Linked DNA regions of Drosophila melanogaster. The protein of the gene in region 2 interacts with the protein of the main gene of each other region in a pairwise test. Each region holds a gene or a part of one and is shown on either strand. Other genes may lie near its edges.

Region 1 (4,930 bases), on a different chromosome or scaffold from region 2:
CTCCTCGTTTTTTTCCGTAGTAGAAGTAACACGCCCCAATTTTGCCTGCTCCCGTCTTTGCGCAAACATGGACTTTTTAGGAGCTGCATTTGTGAAAAAATTCAACAATAAATGTATTTAATAAATATTTGGTAAGCAGAGGGAATCTGGCCGCACCTTTATCCATACGCACAAAAGCCGCTGCAGGCTGGAAATTGGGATCCTTCGCTCTCTCTGCATTGAACTCTGCTGCCATTCGCAGGACATCCTCCTCACTTTCACCTGGCTTAAGTTTTTTAAACATTTTAGCCGGAAAAACAAAACCAAATAGATTTCAAAACAAGTCGGCTGCAGTGTGGCCGTACCTTTAGAAAATACCACCAACATTCGTTTCCATTAACAGACACTTAACAGGGCAGCATTTACAGAGCTATGTTATTGCGAAAACATTTCAATTGTAAAATTCCCAGTAAAGTTTCCAATTAGATTTCAGTAATGAGGAAGGCGGGCAATTTAAAAAAATTGCATGTACACCATTTACACCTACATCATTAAAATGAAATTTAATTTGCATTCAAGTAGAAAAAAACGATTTAATAATACAAGTGCACACGCCATTAACTAGTTTTTCGTTCATTTCCCTTCCTTTTTAAATGTGGTTCCCGTATCGGACAAACACTTATGCAGCGACTGCTGCGCCACTATGGTGTCCTTGTGAGGCAGTGCAGCCACTTGGAAGAACATATCGAGCGACTCCTTGAAAAGTTCTATGGCCTCCACGGTTTTCTGGGCCTCCATGGCTCGCGCAGCCTCTCGATACAGCTCCTCGATCTTGATCATCTTGGCTACGCTCTCCTTGAGTGAGATGTTCTTGCGGCAGCGAGGACAACGCACATCCTTTGCCAAATCCTTGGGGAACTTGAGCAAATTAGAGCAGTTGGCTGAGGTGCACCTTTAATAATGAAAGATATTATAGTATATCGATTGATAGCGAGGCTAGTACCCACCAGAATCGCACTTGCTTGTCCAGTTTCTGGAGCAGTGGCCAGTTCTCCTGGCAGGCCATGCAGCTGCAGCTGAAGGAGTAGCGTCCTCGCAGAGATCGCTGTCTCTCCTTCAAGTTGTTTTTGATGAAAATGGGTCCGTAGTTCACGGCCACCAATTCATTGGCACGATGCGGCCTGGTGGCTGTGAGGACCAGCTTCTTGCCAACAAAATGACAAGCGGTGCTTAAATTATAAGACGAATCCTTAATGATCTCTATAATATTCAAGATAATACAACTCACCTGGGCCAGCACTCGTGATTGAAGTAGGAACCAGTACCATAAAGTCCTGCGGCCAGATACACCGTCTTACTGCCGTCGAAGCGATGCTCCTCGGTCACTTGGGTTTGATAGATCTGGTGGGCATTGTACTGGAGCACCTGCAGCAGGCCCAGCAAAGCGGTGGCCACCTGCAGCTCCACCGCAGTTGGATTCACTCCCTCAGTTTTGCGACGTCCGAAGTACAGCGACTTCTGTAGAATGCGCAACAGGAAGCCAGACATCAGAGCTCGCCGCAAGTAGTCGTCCGGCTGGCGGTCCTCCTCGTGGGAGCACAAGTGCTCGAAGAGCAGATTGGCGGTGGCCAAGCCCTGCTCCAAGCTGGGCGCCTGTGTGAAGATGCGCAGCGCGATGAAGCACAGGATGGACATGCCAGAACCGATCATCAAGTCCATATACTCGCACTCGAAGCGATGGTAACTGGAGCAGGCCTCGCCCATGCACTGGGCGGAGCAGAAGGCGATTCCCGAGCAGTGGAGACAGGAAACGGGAGTGTGCAGCCTGCAATTAATGGGATTCTTTGACAGCTTGACAGCTGACTTCACATTATTAATCCCTTACCTCTTGAAGCAATGATGACAATGAGTGCCAAAGTAACTGGGCTCCAAACAGGCGGCCACTGGCTCCTCGAAGAGCAGAACGTCGCCGGTTCTCAGACCCTCGTTGGCCACCACAAAACGACCCTTGTCCTTGGTCTCCACCAGCCTCACCACCTTGGACGCACCAACTAGTTCGGCACTCTCGCCATGTGCCAGTTGTGGCACCTGTTCCGAGGTGGCTTCCTTGGGTTTCGGCTTTACTGATGATAGTTCCTTGCGGCACAGTGCGATGTGGGTGGCATCACAGCCAGGCATTTTCTCGGCTATCTTCAATGAGATCTCAGCGCGGGCAGGTTCTCCCATGACTGAAAATAAAAGGATTTCCATAAGCATGATACCATCGGTTGCTCCCGGCTGACCCACCTGCATAGGCTTTGGCCATCTTTAAGTAGTAATCCACACTGGACTTGAGCTCCAGTCCAAAGTTGATGGCCAGCTTGAGGTCATTCAATGCTGCCTCCCCCTCGCCCAAGCGGATCAATATGGAAGCCCTCGATCTGTAGGCCAATGCCAAGGTGAGGCCCTCATCGAGGACAGGATCTGCATTGCGGTCGGGAGCCCGCATCACGGCCAGATTGGCGGCCATTAGAGCCTGCTGCAGCAGCTCCCTGCTCTCCTCGCCGTCGCCACTGCCGCTCATCAGGTAGAGCTTATCCGCCTGTGCACGTCGCTGGGCCGAGAAGAGGGCATCCTTCTGCTTGAACACCGGCTGTACATGCTCCAGGACACCCAGCACAGGATCGCACACCTCGCGATCGCTGAAAATGGACAGAACTCGGGCTGCATTGGACTTCAGTTTGCCAAAGTAGTTGCGCAGCCACTTGTCGCCACATGCATCACGCACGTCCACGCAAAATTCGTTGAAGAATCCCCTCCTCTCCGACTGAACCGTCTGCGCGGAGCAGATCTCGTGGTACGTGGCGTCGAACTCCATTTGGACTCAAAATTATGTAAAATCTAATTCAGATTTTCGGTGCAACGGCTGAAAAAGTGGGACTTGTCCGCGTTTTCTGATCACCACACGGCCGCTGAGTATTGGAAACAGCTGGCGGACGTTCCTATACTCCAAAAATAGCACCGATCTTTCAGTTCGGCGGCGCATTATAAATATGCGGTATTGAGTTCCGAACTAGTACTGGTTCACGTTCGATACTTCTTTGAGGATATTATTTATTTTCGAAATAAATAGAAATATTTACATGGTTTCGACTTTGACACTATTTGGATGTTTATGCTCAATTAACTTTATATCCACTTAAAATGCAAGCGATCAGTTGTAATAATTCGCATTTTATTTGTAACTGGAATCGGGCTTATAAATCACATTAAATAATTTATTTAAAAATTAGCTAAACGTACAAAAATATAACAATATGTATATCAGAGTATTTGTAGTTATATATATATTCGTAATTAAATGTTAAGTGTATTTTCATCGCGTGGAAAATACGCAAGTTGATTTCAAACTCTCGTTAATATTTAGATTTGCTCATGGACTAGATAGACTTTGTCAACCATTGTTTATCAGTTTATCATCTTGGAAAGACCTTAAGTAAGTAGAAGAGTATATTTTGTGTAACATTTTTGCGTGACACTCATTAATTTTGGTTCGCCATAATGTCAAAATGCAGAGGACAACAAACTTAAAATGATCTCAAACTACATACGAAAATCCTGTAGAAGTAAAAACAAAAGACTAATAAATTATAAACAAATTTTGCGTAGATTTCATTATAATCTTTGTATTTATTTACTCGAATAATGATTGGGTGATTTTTAATGATCAAGTCAAATGATTCAAGTGTGTTTGACTTCTTAAAAATGCGGTGCTGTGGTAAAGCGTTTTTTTTTTTTGTTTTTTGGGACAGTGATAAATCATATTTAAAAAGTCATTATTTTCACTACAGTCGTACAAAATTCAATTTGGCTAATTAAGAGTAGGGTACAAATTATACATATGCTTTTAAATTCAAAACCATTACAGTGTGTATATAAAATAGGATTGAACTTATGATTGGTCGGTTTTGCGATCGGCTTCAGATTCACATGATATATCAAATAAATTACATGGTGTATGGGTATTGTGTTGGTTTTGTTTTGTTTGTTAGCTTTCGTCACAATTAATCTCGTTGGCTTCAATTGCAATACGATCTAAGAGGAAGTGTTACTAAACTTAACAAATAAAATGCTACAAAGTTTTCTTCAGCCTCGCCGCCGAACTTGCTCAAGAGACTGCGACAGCTATTTGAAGCTTACAAGTCGGTATTTTAGTAGGTATAGGTATAGTTATATGTATTTATATGTGTATATTATAAACTATTATCATCACATTGTAAACGTTAAGTGTTTCTCATTTTTTTGTGTAATCGATTAATCTAAGCAAAAACGAGTACATCGTAGTTTTAATGTCTTTTGTGTTTAAGCTTAAACGCTGCCGAGTATCCGTATCCATCCGTCTATCCCTCGATTTCAGATACCTGATTCCCACTCGCAATCCGCCTGCCTGGCTCACTCTGATTTATGCTAAGCTAATTCGCTTTCGAAAGCAGTCGGATGGGACGAACTAAAAACCCGTGAAACTCTTCGAAGCCGGTTTCGTTTTTTTCTTTTTTTTTTTTGGTATGTGTGTTTTTAGCAGTTCACTAAGAGCGATGGCCCTCAACAAAGGTCGTAGCCTACGTACAATTGTAAATAAATTAGCTCTTAAGAGATAGAGTGGCCTAAACCTACTTGTAGGTCGCAGGATTGTTGGCCTAAGAAATGTTTTGGGATTAGCACACGGCAAAATGTTGCATTTTCTCCTTTGCGTTTGGTTTATAAATAAATTAGCCATAGTATCACTTATTTTATATTTTAAGAAAATAACCAAAAACTAATTCAACTATAAAAACTTAAAACGGATAACCCAGAACGTGGAAGAGGCCTGCTTTACACTTAAGGAAAGAAGCAGCACGAGACTGTCTCATTGCGGCAGAGAGCGAGTGGCGACCACCGAGCCGACTTAACCTAACGCTACTACTATACAAAA
Region 2 (5,476 bases):
ATTAAATTCCATAGTGACCGAAGCGTATAGTACGTAAAGAAAATTGATTAAATAATCAAGCAAATCCAACTGTGTGCGAAAGTATTATTGCATTGGCCAATAAATAAAGATTTACTGGGCACAGACTTACGAGGCTTTTATTTGTCAATGAGATTCAGTTTTAGGGGTCTTTAAAGATAACCGCCTGAGCGCAAATTTACTGAGAAATGCAAATATTAGGGAAACGGCATGAGTAATAAAATGGTTGAGTTTTCGGTTCGCCAACATAAAATTAATTTTTGGGCAGTTATTTTAGATTTGGATTTGCGTTTTTGTTAACTAGTGTAAGTTTAGCTGCGGATGCTGTAGCAAAACATTTTCGACACCTAACTAGACTTATACTATCATTCTGATCTATTATATTATACCAATGTGCGTTTTACATCTGTGTAGTTACAATACATTTGGGATAGTTTTTGATCTCCAATTTGAAACAAATAAATGCGTAAAATACAATGAATTCCTACAGATATCGTTGCAAAGACAGCACATAACGGTACATTTAGATGGCAGCAGTAAATGGATTCAAAATCATATGCAAACCTTACTGTGTAACTGTTTTCTTCATTTTTTTACAATATTTTTTAATATTAGACATTGATACTATATACGAATGTAGATATGTAAGTTGTGGAAGGCATCAGCATTTGTTTACTTCTAAAAACGCAGAAAACTGGGAATTTCAACAATGTCTGGTTGGATCCGGCTGCGTTATGACTGCACAATTTACAATGTCAAAGCCAAGCACTTAATAACCACACATATGCGGATGCCCAATGGTAAACTTCCATAAGTTTTTTTTAGACCTCAAATAAAAATAAAAGCACTCACCCTAAAATTCCCGAGTCAGTTTGGGTTGAACGGTGTGACCAGTCGACTGAAAGCGAAAAATGTACACTTCAAATTTTAAGCTGCAAACACTTGTCATGTAAGAGCTATTGTATATTTTGCCGAATAGGTTAAAGTTTTTGTATGCAACATAATATATTAGCAAAAGGACAATAGAAGAAATATATGCAACGTATAATAGTGATACATACATTGTAAAGTATCCGTTAATACACTGTTTCCACTTTTTAGGGCATTTCGATAATTACCGATAATTCTTCAAAAATATCCTGTAACGGCCTTACCTCAAATATTGATTTGTATTTTCTATTCTATTATTTAATATTTATCCTGTTAGCTTATGGTTGGCTTTTTCACATTTAAAGATCGATATGCTTGCGTTCGGCAATTTTCGCTTAGTGGATATAAAAGCGGAACGACTGGAATTTTTTCGCATATGAAACCTGTTATCCCACCGATCCCTATCTATATTTTAATATTTCAATATAAATAGTTTTGTTTCCGCGATAATTCAGCTAAAAAAAATTTTATCGATTGCATGCATTAAGTAACTGAAAAATTAACAACAAACTTTAATATAAAAAAAGCCCGGTACATGAGAATCATTTACTCAGAAACGCGTTTATGAAACGCTTGCAATTCCCAGCAATTATGCCTAACGCGTAGTTTAAATAACAATTGATTGCTACAGAAGCAGACAGCGCGAAAGACAATATTAAGTTTATAATTTAAATATAGCTTGAAGGCAGAGTTAAAAAAGGCAGATACTCAGCGCATAACGTGCAAATCGATTTGGCACTTTAATTTGCCGTTTATTTGTTTATAGTCTGTCAAAACAAACAGTTGTACATAAAAAAAGGAAATATAATCGCGCGCATGCAGCATTTCTGGTTAAAATAAACATTAATAAAGCAACGAATTGAATGGGACTCACGGACAACGATGAGGGATTGTAAATAGAGACATTGGTTAATGCCTGAAATGTACATATTTTTTTGTGTTGTGCACGATTTGATGCAAGAATAGTGTGTATTTTTAAACAAGACTCCGGCGCTGATACATTCATACATAGCTCACGCGCACAGGACATACAGTCCTAACATAAAATTCTCGTTCGTTTTCACGCCATCGCATCTATTGTGTTACATAGCGCCCAAAAAACGAGAAGTAAAGAACTATAATCAGCGAAGTTTCGGTTCCTTGGCAAACAAACAGGTATGTATTCAGATTCGCAGGGATGCGTACATGTATATAACGCGTACATTCAACTGTTTACATCCTTATTACTAAATATAGAAGTAATTCCAATTGTGCAAATCGCTAGTGGAGGTGTACATATGTATTTATGCAAGCGTGCGTATGTATGTGGGTACATAAAACATGGCAAGTGAAAATTCGCATGGTCTTCTCCTCAGTTTCACACTGAGGACATTATTTATTTGGACGATTATCAAATGTAAATAAGCATATACCTCTGCACCTGTATGTACGCTCGTGTGTTTGTATGTATGTATGTATATACAGTGGTCAACTGCTAAAAAGAAAGCAAATAAAAACTTAGGAATAACGTAACTGTCATGCAAAAACAATACAAAAAAGTGGAAAAGGGACAATGCTATTTTTAAACTCATATATTTGGCTAAAATATTCTTTCTTTTAATCCATTATTAAATGAAATGCAAATATTAATGCAATGCAAAAAAAAGAAGTATCTTTTTTTTTCATATATCAAAAATCAAACAAAAGGAGTTCATATAATATATATACTTAATATGCAATACAATATTTTTAAGGGAAACCTACTAGAATTATGATGTCACGAGAAAGATTCGGTCAAATTACTTGATCCTTATTCTTAGTTCATTCAAGAGAGTCGAATTTATGATATATTCGAATTATTGTCTATTGACGATAGTTATAATTTATCCTGGAATTTACCAACACTCTATTGCAGGATATACAAGGATCTTTAAATGAGCGATAGCTTCGTAAACTCAGGAGCACAGTAAAGGCGCGAACTATATTTTGAGTACGATGAGCGGCGCTACACAGGAATTTTGTGTACGCTGGAACAGCCATTTGGGCAGCATTGGAGCTGCTTTTCCGCAGCTGCTAGCAGGCCAGAGATTCGTGGATGTAACACTCGCATGCGAAGGCCAACAGGTGCACTGCCATCGTCTGGTGTTGGCCGCTTGTTCCACCTACTTTGAGGCAATACTAGCGGAGCATCCTTGCAAGCACCCGGTCATCATATTGCCCAGGGAGATCAAGCTATGGGAGATCCAGGCGCTTGTGGACTTCATGTACAAGGGAGAGGTCAATGTCACGCAAGCCGGTCTTGGCCAGTTGCTTCGCTGTGCCGAACAACTGCAGATTCGCGGTCTATACGGCTCTGAGGCACCGATAAACTACAAGAAACTCCAGCAGGCGAGTCTCGAGGCTGCTAAGGATCCAGCTGCAACCACAGCGCGAAGCTTCAAGCATGTGGACAGCGCGGAAACGGACGATGCAGCCACTAATTCAACCACCTCAACAACAATGACCACCTCCTCCGCTCCACCGCTACCGGTTAACCATCAGCAACCCACAGTATTGAAGCGCCAGAATCCCGATGCTCGGCAGCAGCAGCAACAGCAGCAGCAGCAGCAGGTGCAGCAGCGACCCCAGATAAATGGCAGTAATGCTCAACAGCCATCTAAGGCCACCTCTACGAACGTTTTGGGCAGCCACTCGAATGCACCAACCGAGGATGACTCCGGCGACGAGGTGCCGAACAATTGGAATGCCTACGGGGAGCAATTCGATGATTGCAATATATCTGCGCAAGCCGTTGACAACAAAATGAATGTCCACCTATCCCTGCAGCAGGCGAGGTTTGTTTTTGCATTAATATGACAAGTATCTCTGGATAAATATATATATCTTTTCACAGGATGCAAATGCAGCTTCAGCAGCAGCAATACTTGGATTCAAATGTTGAGGACGACCACAACTATGTGGCCGCTCATGATGAAAACAATGACAGCAGTTTTGCGACAGGAGTGCCATGCGGATCCGGGCTATCCCTCAGCCTTGACACTGATCTCGATACATCGGCCAATACTTCCGGAGGACTGAGCCATAGCTCGATCGATGGTTATACTTCATATAAGCGCGTTCGACGTTCAGAAGCATCTCTAGCACAAGCGGCCAAATGTGTTTCGAAGGGCGAGACATTCCAAACTGTCAGCAATATGTTCAATATTCCTGTCTCAACCATTCGTTTCTATATGGCGCGAAAAGGAATTCTTCCGAAGCGGAAACGTGGACGTGGTGCTTCCCATGCCGGAAACATAATAATCACAACAAACTCAGGAAAACTCTCAACCGTCCCAGCGAGCATAACTCATCCCCCAGCCCATCCGCATATCCACACCAATCCCCTTCCTCACACGCAGTCTCAGCAAATGTCCATGGACAGCCTACATCTCAAGGCGGGCATCGCAAATACCAGTGGCAGCAATAGTCCGGCAACTGCAACGGCAACGTCTATGTCACCATCATTTGATATGGCCACAACAGGTGATATTGTGCCTTTTCACCTCCATAGCGATGCGGCGGCATTCAAACTCAACGATCAGAAGCTGCACATGATCTAACCACGCAATTTGCCAAGTTGTGCTGTACTAGTAGGGCGTGTATTAATAGAGAGGGATTTCCAAGCAGTAGCTGCTTTCTTTCATTTCGGGGTACGCATCGGCTCGTGTGGGATCTTTAGTCATAACATAGTCAACAAAATACAATTTATACATAGGTTTACTTAATTACGCTTTGGAGATGCCACAGTTTTATCCTTGGTTGAAAAACTCTTGCCGTTCAATCATTATTCATTTTACTTTGGCAATCATAAGAAATTACAGTAGATGTATGCTATCAACAAGGATTATGACTAAAAACTTGCGTAAAAATTTCAATTATGTTTCTTGTCGCCCCAGTACTTTAAGGAATTACTGTATTGTTAATAAGATAAATAAAATCGACCTGGAAACTTTTACTGGGTATTCGTGTGATTGCAAAGATAAGATGAAAATTTATAATAAACTCGAAGGTCGTAAAAGACATAATCATAATGCTAACAGCTTAAACTAAATAATAATGTAAAGTAATTATTATTGGTCAAATACATCCGATCTATTTTAAAACCATGTACTTTTCCTACAAGAATACGCAAATCTTCAATACTTGCTTACAATTACTCGGTTTGTTTGTTTGCTTATTTTTTTTGGTCATTATAACAATTGGCCATAAATGCAAGAATCCCAATAATAAATTACGTTGTGAAAGTATTATTAAATACATAAGTACTGTGTACGAGATGATTGGGCAATAAAAGTTTAAATGCATTCAAAGTAACAACAATTTTTTTTTTGCTAAATTTATTATTTGAAATTTGTACTGTTACTGTCAATCATTTTTTTTTTATATTTGTACATATGTATGTAGATTAGCACAGTGCAGGCGCAGAATGTTGAAGTGGAAACGGCGCTTTTTGAATACTTCTCATAGAATCTATTTCTTTTCATGTTCAATCAACGGTCACACTGTAAGC
Region 3 (5,083 bases), 6.7 Mb from region 2:
CTGCAATGGGCAGGATTTCCTTCTCATCCGCCGAAGCTGCAAGGAGATACAAAAACGGAATATGTTAAATATCAACTAGTACATTGGTACCGGTTTTTGTTTTTGTAGTCAGCATTATACAGGCGGTCTGTAAGCTGCAACAGCCGCCAACCTGTTACTGACTGCTTTGATCTGGGGCAGCCCCAAATCGCACCCTTGTATCTGACCACCGTTTCAGTTCAGACACTGGGAGCAGACTGCCCTGAATACGTACTCAAAGCTTTCGTACTTACAGGATAGCAGACTCTGTTGCACGAACTGCAGGCGGTAGAGAATCGGTTCGGCACTGCTGACGAAGAGCAGGAAGCGACCGCAGGGCGACCAACAGGCTGTTTGGACATAGCCTCCGGGACCGCACACCCATCGCTCGGTGGTCCATTGCTGGTGGCAGTTCCACACGCGGAACACCCGATCCACGGTGGCTGCGAACAGCCAGTCATTATCCGGCGACCACTTCAGCAGCGAGCCCGGCGGACCCAAACGCTTGAGTGGCTGCATCATTCCGGTGTCCGGCTGCCAGATAATAATGGAACGATCTCCTATTGAGGCGGTGGCCAACTGGGTGCCATCCTTGTTCCACTGCATCGAGGTTATTGGCAGATTGTTTGGGCTAAAAGGGAAAATAAGTTATGTATTTACCAACTAACGATAAATTTTCTATACTGACTATTTAAAAATCTCGCTGGGTGCATTTGTGCGTCCCAAATGCAAAGTGCTGTCCACTTCCCAGAAACACAGACCCTGCCGACAACCTATCACGATCTCGGAAGCGCAGAGTGGACGCCACGCCATGCAGGTGATCTGCGTTTGGGATGGACTCTTTAAAACAGTGGCAGTGGTCGCACTGGAACTCTTTGTGTAGATGCGCACCACATCGTCTACACCGGCTACGGCTAAGCAAAAGAAGTGCTGATTCCAGGCAAGATAGCGCACATCGCTGTTGAGCCAATCCCTGAATGAATGGGACAGTAAGGTTTAGGTATTATTGGTCAGTTGGCTGCGCCCCACCCACCTGGTCTCCACGAACTGAGCAATACGCTCTGCACTAAGCTGCTGGGTGTGCGGGAGGATCCTCAGGCCGGTGGCCAGGCCCAGAAATTGTGCGATTAAATCACCCGCCTGGGCAATAAGCGGCGCCTGCTCCCTGGTCTCTGGGCTGCGTGCCTCCTCCAGCGTCTTCCAGAATCCGCCATTAAAGAAGCTGCGAGCTATGCGCTTTAGGACACCCTCATTCACAGATACGAAGCTCTGTCCGCCGTAGTACCGCTGACCAGCCGGATTGGCCAGAAGTTCGCTGTTCAGGTTTATCTGCGGATAGCGTTCCAGCTCTGGGATGTGATTGTGCCGCAGCGCCAGATCCGGCAGCGTGGAGAACGGCGGACACTGTTTTAGGTTGCTCAGGGCCGCCATAATTGCAGACTATTCACATTCAATTCAGTTCAGTTGAGAAAAAATGGTAACGAAATACAAAGAAAAAACCGCGCGGTTATTAGAGGTGAGAAAAAGCCGACAATGTCAGTGGTAATTCGATGCTTAATTTTTCTATCGATGTTTAATTTTACGAAACTTCGAAAATACTGGGCCGCGGCAAAATCTTAAAGATTATCGAAAAATAAAAATTAGGTATATATAAAGTAACAATCTTTTGTAGGTTTTATATTCACGTTGTTTCTCTTTCAAGAACTCTATTTAATCTCATAGATCTCGAACACACTATCGTTTGTTATTAAGACTATGGAATTAGTTCTCTCGATATAAGTGTTACGAAGCATTTTATATTTATACACAGCTTACAATAAATACCTAAAATTGTTTTTATTGTATAGTCATACATCAATTAAAATCTACAACGTAGTTTTATGCTAAATATTATATATTTTATTAGGCCAGAACCTATCGATTGTCTGCAATACATTATTAGTAGGCTATCGATATCCTTTCATTCACCATCTCCATCGCAAAAAAAAATTCCATGAAACTTAATTGACGGATTTGGATTTGGACTGGATTTGTTGTCGGAAAGATTGCTGCGAGATGACGGACAAGCGCAAATATAAGAAGACCGTAAGTTTCACCCGCTGCACGGCAATCATATTTTTAACTACAAAGGAGGTTTCCAAACAGAAAGAGGAAATCAGGCGGGAGATCGCACGGGAATTTGATTTGCCTGAGCGCAAGTCCAAGATAGCCACCATTCTAAAGCAGGAAGACCAAGCGTACTGCATATGCCGCTCCTCCGACTGCTCCAGGTTCATGATGTGAGTTGAATGGCCTTAAAGGGCTAGATCCCGGCTAACTACTTGTACCCTTCGCTTTCCAGAGGCTGCGATGGTTGCGAGGAGTGGTACCACGGCGACTGTATAGGGATCACCGAGAAGGAGGCTAAACACATCAAACAGTACTACTGCCGGCGCTGCAAAAAGGAGAATCCCGAACTACAAACCATATTCCGCCTGGTGGCCACCGAACGGGCAGCCGCATCGAACGCCGCCTCTACAAGTCTCAATGCCCCGGGCGTAGGTCCATCGGGAGCTGCGCCTGCTGCTGCACCGGTGGCGTCCGCAACAACCAGCCAGCAAGCGCCGCCACCGACCACTGCGGCAGCGAAGCGCAAAAACAGCAGCGCCCGAGAACCAAAGATGGGCAAACGTTGTGGTACCTGTGAGGGATGCCGGCGTCCCAATTGCAACCAGTGCGACGCGTGCCGCGTTCGCGTGGGCCACAAGCCGCGCTGCATATTCCGCACCTGCGTTGTCCAGGCGGCGACGGTCTTAAAGGAGTCGCAGGCAACTCAAGCCGGCCCAAGTAGGAAGCGGGAAAAGGCGGCACCCAAGAGTCGCAATGTCCAAGTGGGCCCGCGGGCGGCCAGTCCGGAGATATTCCTCAATCCGGAGCTACAAGGCATCCGGCAGTGCTACGGACCCAATTGCTGCTCCCATGCGAGACCGCAGAGCAAGTACTGCAGCGATAAGTGTGGCTTCAATCTGGCCACAAAACGCATCTTCCAGGTTAGTTTCATTTTTTGGCCAGACTATGACAATTAAACACCAAAGTCCTTTACACTCTCAGGTTCTGCCGCAACGACTGCAAGAGTGGAATCTAACGCCCAGCCGCGCCGCCGAGGAAACACGCAAGCATCTTGATAACATTCGTCATAAGCAGTCCCTGGTGCGTTTCGCACTTGCCGAGCTAGAGAAGCGCTCCGAAGAGCTCAACATGGTGGTGGAGCGAGCCAAACGAAGCTCCATTGATACATTGGGGTCACAAGACACCGCCGACATGGAGGACGAACAGAGCATGTACTGCATCACCTGTGGCCACGAGATTCACTCGCGCACTGCCATCAAGCATATGGAGAAGTGCTTCAACAAATACGAATCGCAGGCCAGCTTCGGGAGCATATTCAAAACGCGAATGGAGGGAAACAATATGTTTTGTGATTTCTACAATCCGGCAAGTAAGACTTACTGTAAGCGATTGAGAGTATTGTGTCCGGAGCACAGCAAGGATCCGAAGGTGAACGATACGGATGTGTGTGGTTCGCCCTTAGTGAACAACGTCTTCAATCCCACGGGCGAGTTTTGTCGTGCGCCAAAGAAGAATTGCTTCAAGCACTACGCCTGGGAGAAGATCCGGCGTGCTGAGATAGATCTGGAGCGTGTGCGTCAATGGCTCAAGATGGACGACCTGATGGAGCAGGAGCGCGTGATGCGGCAGCAGCTCACCTCGCGAGCGAACCTGCTCGGCCTGATGCTGCACTCCACCTACAACCACGAGGTGATGGACGAGCTGGTGCGCAAACAGCAGGAGCATCTGGTAGAGTTCGAGAAGCAGAGGCGACGCCTGGCTCACCAGCAACAAATACAAACACAGCAGAAACAGTACCAGGAAAAGCAGAAGCTAATGTTGCAGCAACAACAGCAACAGCAACAACAGCAGCAGCAACAACAACAGCAGCAACAACAGCAGCAGCTGCAACAACCACAGCAGCAGCAACAACAGCAGCAGCAACAACAGCAGGAGCAACAGCAACTGCAATTGAAGCCACATCATCTGCAGCAACTTCAACTTCAACTGTTGCAGCAGCAGCAAAAGAAGGCCCAAATACCACAGAAAACTCAAATTATATACCTGCAGAAAAAAACATAGATTTGTAGTCCCCTAATCATAGCAAGAACTAACAATAAACTGACGTCCAAGAAATATTTTTCTACGACAGTAATCTTTGGACTTACCCGACGCAAAGTTTCTAGTGTCGCCTTTCTCCTGGCAACCGCATAACACGCTCGCCAGCTGTTGGGTCCGCTTCCCGGCCAGTAGTAGGTTGCTACGCGCCGGGATCGGCGGTACGCCCATGTTTGTTATTGAAAACTAAGCATCAAATATGCATTTATTGATAGCAACATGCTATTAATACATTAGGCCAGCTCAACCGTGGATATCATTCACATGGATTACATTAGCACACACCTTAATATTAGTTTATTAGCTGGATTCAAGTTATTTATAATTTCTATATACGATTTGTTTTCTGTTCATTGTTAGTTTGTATTTAGAAATAATCTAGAAAATAAGTTAGCATATTAAATACATTTTCTTAAGCTGTAGGCTTTTTTTAATAATGCAGGTTAATATTACTGCATTAAACAAAGTCATGAAAAAAAGAATACTCTACGCTCAACATATTTTGAAGATCATATAGACATAGGCCACCGAGTCCGGGTTTTGATATCCGAAACAATGGTTCCGGGTAAATGAAGAGCGGGGGGCAACCATTGGAAACGGCAGGACCTTGAAAACGATGGAGGCTATGGATTAGAGTGGGCATGCTGTAGTTGGGAGCCAAAAGGAATGTCAGGACGCACAAGTGCAGTGGAAATTTCAAGCGAGTCTGAACGAATCCGGCTACCCGGGCAATCAAGTAGTCGTGGCGATTTGTGACTGTTCCCCCAGACGAACTGTCAAAAATGCCAGTCGTTGTCCGGAACTTTTCTACATCACACACGACCTGCTGATTCAAAGCCAGGAATACAGTTCATTTACA

Evidence for each region. Proteins that work in one complex are often made in the same cells at the same time.
Region 1: the proteins of CG8924 (region 2) and Smyd4-2 interact in a two-hybrid assay, tested with the Drosophila melanogaster proteins (one large-scale study listed by BioGRID).
Region 3: the proteins of CG8924 (region 2) and Cfp1 interact in a two-hybrid assay, tested with the Drosophila melanogaster proteins (one large-scale study listed by BioGRID).

Annotation. Positions count from the first base shown.
Region 1 is NT_037436.4:12,398,985-12,403,914, forward strand, and holds Smyd4-2 (SET and MYND domain containing, class 4, member 2), read right to left. Parts: upstream 2,952-4,930; 5' UTR 2,837-2,951; coding exon 2,266-2,836; intron 2,208-2,265; coding exon 1,865-2,207; intron 1,805-1,864; coding exon 1,268-1,804; intron 1,209-1,267; coding exon 987-1,208; intron 932-986; coding exon 613-931; 3' UTR 555-612; downstream 1-554. Other genes in the region: CG32104 (uncharacterized protein), read right to left, coding at 1-83, 157-283.
Region 2 is NC_004354.4:15,939,530-15,945,005, forward strand, and holds CG8924 (uncharacterized protein), read left to right. Parts: upstream 1-1,547; 5' UTR 1,548-2,103; intron 2,104-2,842; 5' UTR 2,843-2,922; coding exon 2,923-3,761; intron 3,762-3,820; coding exon 3,821-4,526; 3' UTR 4,527-4,920; downstream 4,921-5,476.
Region 3 is NC_004354.4:9,269,880-9,274,962, reverse strand, and holds Cfp1 (CXXC finger protein 1), read left to right. Parts: upstream 1-2,002; 5' UTR 2,003-2,073; coding exon 2,074-2,297; intron 2,298-2,359; coding exon 2,360-3,047; intron 3,048-3,108; coding exon 3,109-4,188; 3' UTR 4,189-4,529; downstream 4,530-5,083. Other genes in the region: aladin, read right to left, coding at 1-36, 273-649, 707-991, 1,052-1,449. UniProt on the Drosophila melanogaster protein: Component of the SET1 complex that specifically di- and trimethylates 'Lys-4' of histone H3. Essential for Set1 association with chromatin and trimethylation of histone H3 at 'Lys-4' at transcription puffs.